Neurospora crassa OR74A: one gene and its partner. Each later gene encodes a partner of the first gene's protein in a complex. Links are inferred from orthologs where the notes say so. Each region holds a gene or a part of one and is shown on either strand. Other genes may lie near its edges. The genes, in order: NCU00979 and NCU00464.

What was found.
Region 2: NCU00979 (region 1) and NCU00464 share a complex: the UniProt entries of both Saccharomyces cerevisiae proteins name them as parts of the large ribosomal subunit. The link is inferred for Neurospora crassa OR74A from reciprocal best matches to the Saccharomyces cerevisiae genes RPP2B and RPL32.

Annotation. Positions count from the first base shown.
Region 1 is NC_026501.1:6,512,180-6,515,454, forward strand, and holds NCU00979 (60S acidic ribosomal protein P2), read left to right. Parts: upstream 1-1,364; 5' UTR 1,365-1,517; intron 1,518-1,579; 5' UTR 1,580-1,588; coding exon 1,589-1,747; intron 1,748-1,813; coding exon 1,814-1,940; intron 1,941-1,998; coding exon 1,999-2,045; 3' UTR 2,046-2,468; downstream 2,469-3,275. Other genes in the region: NCU00980 (hypothetical protein), read right to left, coding at 1-599, 659-664; NCU00978 (checkpoint protein kinase), read left to right, coding at 3,095-3,275. UniProt on the Saccharomyces cerevisiae protein: Component of the ribosome, a large ribonucleoprotein complex responsible for the synthesis of proteins in the cell.
Region 2 is NC_026503.1:3,956,606-3,960,047, forward strand, and holds NCU00464 (60S ribosomal protein L32), read right to left. Parts: upstream 1,980-3,442; 5' UTR 1,928-1,979; intron 1,868-1,927; coding exon 1,828-1,867; intron 1,656-1,827; coding exon 1,531-1,655; intron 1,352-1,530; coding exon 1,230-1,351; intron 1,087-1,229; coding exon 978-1,086; 3' UTR 622-977; downstream 1-621. Other genes in the region: NCU00465 (chaperone dnaJ), read right to left, coding at 3,052-3,144, 3,203-3,442. UniProt on the Saccharomyces cerevisiae protein: Component of the ribosome, a large ribonucleoprotein complex responsible for the synthesis of proteins in the cell.

The DNA of each region.
Region 1 (3,275 bases):
CCCTTTTTCGCTTCCTCGGCCTTTAATTCCTTGCGTTCCTTCAGCGTCAACTGCTTCTCCACCTTCTTGTGCTGAATCTTTCCAACGGATGACAGCATGGGCTGATTGGCCTGGGCCCTTGCCATGATCTCTGCATAGGAGCGTTTCTTCGGAGGTCCAGAGCCGGCGACAGGAGCGCTAGGGGCGGGTCGGCTGACGAGCGGTCGCGAAAGTGGAGCCTTATTCCCATTCGAGCTTGTTCCTCCCACCTTTGACTGCGTCGATGTGGTCTTGGTTGACACCGGAGCTGTTAGTTTCGTGGTCGAACGTGGTTGCGCGGTGCCGGTGTAGCCAGTTGTTTTTTCTGCGGGACGCGTTGGGTTCGCATTTCCTGTGGGGCGCTCCGTCGGTCGGTCGGCGGGGCGCGCTGTAGAAGGTTTCGATACGTTTCCATTCGGCCGGGCACTTCCATTTGTCGCTGGTTCGGTACGCGGGGCCTTTGGCGCAGAACCTCGAAGGTCATCGTCGGCCTTCCGTTTAGATGCTGTTGGGACATCTTTCGTCGAGATCGATGATGACGATGGCTTTTCGCCCGTTATCGATGCGAGCAAATCCGAAATCTGCACACGTGTCAGCCAGCCTTTTAAAGGGCAAGCGCACTAAACGAATGGCAACTTACCGGCATGGCTGTGGTTGTATCGGTGAATAACCTTCTTTTACCAGCTTTGCTTATCCTTCTCCTGCGTTCAAAAGACGGAGAGTTGTCCAGGCATCGAACAAGAGGAGAAGGAAGTAGGTGGCAGGGTTTTATATGCTTCCGTCACAGATCGCCTCAACTGACGATGCAGATGCACAGTGGGACAAGCGCGAATGCTTTGGCAAAAAACACGGCGAAAGAATGGGCGCGAGTATGCGAGGTCGCCAGTCGCCCGATAGTGCCGAAACCAAGAATAGGAATTAGGTTGGAGATGGGTTGTTGGCGAAAGAAGAACAAAGAATCCTGCGTGATCGGGGACTTGGTTTCGCAACTTTTGCTGGGCAGAGACAGAGACGGGAGCCAGGATGGTCAGCGTAGTGAACGACCCACCCAGTCACTTCTGGTCGGAGCGGTGAATCGCGGTCTCCGAGGTCAAAGTCACAGGCCCAGACGGTCCAGACCAGCAGCGTGCCAAGCCGCACGTCACCGAAAAGTTGTGTTTATTGCCAAGAGCGCCCAAGGCGTTATGAATTGGCCAGCTTTTTATGTAATTGCAAGCGGCCGGCAGGCAACGACGGAAGGGAGCTTGGCGGGAAAGAACGCACGGGATCTGCCCTAAGTCGAGTGGATTGGTCAGGTGATTTGAGGCTTGTGGGCTTTCGTGGGGCGCAAAATTGCGGGGCTTCACAGGAACGAAATTGTAAAAATAATCCGTGATCGGGTCCCGTCCGCGAACTTCTTTCCGAAACAGTGAACTTCCACCCCCAAGAACCTAAGAAGAGTCTTTCTCCGCCACAACTCAGCGGTTAAACCTGATTGACATCTCTGGTTCTCCAGCTCAGTAAGTTTTTGGTCCAGCCTTCCACAACCGTAGGATTTCCGTCTAACAACGCGACCTTCAAGACAGACAAAATGAAGCACTTGGCCGCTTACCTCCTCCTCACCCTCGGTGGCAACACCGCCCCCTCTGCCGCTGATGTCAAGGCCGTCCTTGAGTCCGTTGGCATTGAGGCCGACTCCGAGCGCCTTGACAAGCTCATTTCTGAGCTCGAGGGCAAGGACCTCAACGAGGTACGACTATTGTCCGGAGAGCAGACTTGAGTGTCCGGCGCACATGGCTAACACGAGATATTACAGTTGATCGCTGAGGGTTCCTCCAAGCTCGCTTCCGTCCCCTCCGGCGGTGCTGCTGCCCCCGCTGCCGGTGGTGCCGCTGCCGCCGCTGGTGGCGCTGCTGAGGAGAAGAAGGAGGAGAAGGTTGAGGGTAAGGACACATTCAATCGCTTGCGCTGTCGCATTCAGCTGCTAACTGCTGGGTACAGAGAAGGAGGAGTCCGACGAGGATATGGGCTTCGGTCTCTTCGACTAAGCGTCTCCTACCATTGTCCGGTAACATGGCATGGTATTTTCCGAGAAACCTTGACGGATTGTACACGCGGTTCAAAAGTCACCTGCATCACATTCGCCTTGACGGCGGCAGCAGAGCTGGAGTTCTTGGGATTACAAGGGCACGTCTTTCATAAGGGCGTCAAACGGCACATAGGCGGAACAATACAAGTCGCAAGGTTTTCTTCGGACCTTTTTGTCCCTTCGTGATCATACATGTGCGTGCTGCGCTGTTCTGGACATCTGCGCCTGCAGCTAAAATTGCTGAGAATATGTTGCTTGAACATGCATGTTTGTGAGCTCTTCTTCTTTTCCGTTCCTGTTATCGCACTGATATGGCGTCCCATCGACGGCGCCCTGCGAGAACGTTGGTAAACAAATCCCTTGATATTCACTTGACATGCAGCTCCATTGTCGTCTCCATTCATTTATCGATACGCACGGTTGCATGTGGTTCCTTCAAGTCGGGCTTCCCTGTTGTTTTTGTTGTTGTTGCTGTAAACAAAGCTTGGCAAGCTCATCACTGGAGTTTGCGTTTCCCAGAGAAAGGATCCATTTCAGCGGTTGCCGCGAGCAACCATGCAACATCACCCCGTGTTTTGATTGGTCGCAGCTCCACAAGTCAAAATACTCGCTCCTAGCGAAAGCCAACAGTCAGCACGCACCCAGGGCCCCAATACAGAGTGAAACCCCCCATCGTCTCCTCTAGCTTCCGTTCACGACATGCTTCATCCGCGCCGCACCATATGATTTCTCGCTACTCTCGTTATTCTTGGTTCCATGCGCTACTCTGGCACGTAGATTCGCAATCGCCCACGCAGCCCTGTGCTTATTAGGTATTATTTTCTTCAATTTTGGACTACATCTGAAAAGGCGGCAAACCAGGCGCAAAACAAGAGCAGGATCGTCCGTGGCTGCGAAAGACGGGCAAGGTTCCAAGCTCGCAAACAGGACGAAAAGTTAGGTCCACCCAACGCCGAGCCAGCGCATTTGCAACCGCAACCAAAACAACAGGGGCGGTAAACAAAACACATGAACGACATGTCGTCCATTTCGCCAACGCCCATGGGCGGTGGAAGCCACTTTACGTCTATGGGAAGAAGGACATCCGCTAGACAAGCTTTGCGACGTCCCCCATCGCGGCCCATGCTCAATCGCAGCGAGTCGAATCCCCAGTCGCAATCTCAACAGTATTCCAACCTCAACGACAGCT
Region 2 (3,442 bases), on another chromosome or scaffold:
TAGTCTGAAGCGAGTTCCGGTCACTTGGTCTCGTCATGGCAATAAGATAACGAGTTTCTATATTTACTGACTAAGGAGCAAGGACACTAAAGAACCAACTTTGTCATTTTCTTCGACGTCCTGTCTACTCCAGGGATACCTCGACCCTCAATTGGGACCTTTTTATGTCACTTGTGATGGGCCTAGACTTGCGTACTTAACTTTAAGCGTGAAGTTCCGTTCAGGGTACCGCTACCGCTTTTGGTGACGGAAGGCGAGAGATTATCACGGGTGTGTTGTGTGACCTTTGTGCACCGGCCTTCGGATGACCTAGTTATAGTATGCCGAAAGTCTTCTGTTGCGATATTTGGTCAATGCTATGCCTTGCTCCTGGGGTTCTTTTGAGTTTGTGACTGGAATTGAATCTGGGGCATCCCTTATTTGGGAAGCGAGAGCCAAGTGTCTTGAAAGAAGGATGGATATGGTCGCTGGGACTTCTCACTGATCTTCCATCAACCCCGGCATCAGCTTCGACTGACCATGCTAATGAAGCCAAGTCAGCTCTGAGAAGCGGGCAACGAGCCTATTTTCGGACATCAGTTCACATAATACCATTCACAATGACACAACTCCTTGCAATCTGCCTGACGTCAAATTGGTCTGGTATCATTTCATATCTTCTGTCCGTGCAGTGCTGTCCCATATCTCAGAGACAACAATACGATGAGAGGCCAACGTCTTGGCCTTCCTCATCACAACGCCGTTCCCGTCCGTTGTCTGTATGTGTATGTCCAGTGGTAGTAGATGCTTGGTCTTCGTAGTGTGTGCCTTGACAAGCAAGCCGCGTTTGTATTTTCACTAGCCTGGATTGGTTGCTAGCAGAAAACCCGCTGACCAAAGAAAGCAGAACCCATTTCCCGTTGAGACCGCCTTGAGATGCTCCCAGAATCACACATGACGAAAAAAGTGCCCCCTTATGACGATGAAGACAGGAAGATTTAGACCTCGGTGGTAACCTTCGCCTTGGCGTTGGTGACCTTGACGGAGAGCTGCTTAGCGCGAGCGATGATCTCGATGCGCTTGCGGGAAGAGACGTTGTGGGCGATCCTATAGTCAAGCATATTAGCGACAGTCCATTGCATCGCCCTTGCTCGTTGCCTCCATTGTCCATTGAATATCGCGAAAGCGACTCCACAATCCCGAATCCGACTAATGTCCCTAGGAAATGAATGGATATCGATGTAACGTACTCAGCAGCGTAGGTCTTGTTGTGCATGAGGAGGAGCTCGACATCCTTGACGTTGCTGACGAGGAAAGCCTTGTGGCCGGAGGGCATCATGTGGCGGGTCTTCTTGTTGGAGCCATAGCCGATCTAGAAGCGCGAAACAAGTCGCGTTTGGTTAGCCGTTTGACCGATTTGAACTTCCCAATCGTTTTCCCAACGATCACCCGCGGAGCGTCTCTGTCCAGGGGCTTGAGACAATCCAATCCTGCGGCTCCCGTCCAGATTCGCTCCGTCTTCTTCCACCACCGGATTATGGCCAAACGTACCGAGGGCATAGCAAGAGTGCCCCTGAAGCGACGGCGGACGCGGTTATCGATACCCTTGGGCTTGCGCCATGCCGAGTCCACACGCATAAAGCGATCACTCTGGTGGCGCATGAAGCCCTTAGAGCCTGTTCACCAATATTTCGTCAACATTCTAGTTCCACTGGTATTCGCATCGCTCTTTCGTCGATTGGTGTCGGGAAACGGCGGTGATGGAGTTGTCGGCCCTCGAGCTCGAGCTAGCAAGGGGATTTCCATTTTTCGTGTCGGCTGGAGTCGCGGAATTGAGGAAAAACGTACGCTTCTTGACGATAGGGACGTGCTTCTTGGCGGCAACCATCTTGAATATGCTGTTAGAATTGCTTCGTTACTGAGAATACGATTGAACGAGGGTGCCTACCTTGACTGTCTGTTATCGAGTGATGGGGGACTGTTTCGGCGGGCAGCGTCACGGCGGGACCTGGGGAAAAAAATCGAGAAAGTGTAGCTGGTGGGCTTAGGGCTGTGCGAAATTGTTAAGGCGAGGCTTAGTACGCAGTTGTGATTCGCCAGAATTTTACTGGTGTGGGTCACCATCTGGGTGGCAGTTGTAAATCTTGGCAGTCAAGCCGCACCTGGAGATAGCGCCCAGCCGTCCCAGACCATCTCACGAGCTGCCTCTTTCTTTGCACACAGTGCACCTTGCCGGCCACAATCCTATTACCAACTACCTCTATGGACTGCACTTTCGATCCGGAGTCTTTATGGCATACATAAACCATTTTACTGAATTAATACGGAATGTGTTGCGTTGCTGTCATTCTTCGACATTCGTGACCCGGGAACTCTGTCTTGATGAGAGTTCAACCTCCTAGAGGTAAAACCAAAGGCATTGGATTATATGGATCCACTCGGGGGATACGCATCATACATTCACAGTTCAGCAACCATAATGGGAACGTTTGACACAACACGCAAATACATTCACCCCGATTTACTATCAACCAAACTTTATCCATTCGCTATCATATCGCCGGGTATTGAGTATACACACAAGTCTATGTGTCAAGTCTAAAAGATAGGGCTGATTCTGCCTGCTTGATGGGCAATACTGCTCGACGTCTAAAAGCATGCTTGCCTCACTAATGGTCGCTCAAGATATGTAGAAACGGCCATTGCTGCATGTTGACCAAAAACCTCCAAACCTGCCACGTCCTATGATGGTGTGAGCAAATGGCCTGCCGGATAGGAACTTGTAGTTCGCTTATCCAACCAGGCTAGGCCGTGCTCCCAAGCATACTACTGGACCGCCGCCCTGCAACAAAGCTATATGGACCGCAAAAGGTTTGAAGAAAACGGCCACTCTGGTCGTGCGTTTCTCGGTGTGGCAGCTGGGCGACTGTCAAGTCCTGGACTGTCCCACTCGTTCCCAGCCACCCACGCCGAGTTCGATACTTGGCGCGTTGTGCTCGTTGAGGGACGATGGCGACAAGGACTTTGCCAATGCTCTAGGTATATAGCACTCCCTCCAGAGTGTGTGTTTCCTTACTGGGTAGCGCACTGAGGACCAGCACCCTCGTCTTCGTCATCATCCTCCCAGTCATTGCCGTAGCGCGGGTCACCCTGGTGAGCGCCCATCTAGGTTTCAAATGTTAGCCACAGCTTCTCTCCTTATATATTTGAAAGATCATCATACCTCTTGGATATCGGCACCGGATTCGTATTCAACGTCATCGATCTCCTCGGCCTCGATTGGCTTGGGTGGAGGAGGTAGGAGCTTCGCCAAAGCGTCATACTGGCTGTCGTCCTGCAACCAACCATCTTCAGGGAACTCGATCTTCACAACGAGGTACAGGTCGCCCTTCATATCACTTTTCTTGACGGGCATACCCTCACCGGGGACTTTGAGGACGTCGCCGGGACGGAGAACCTTGCC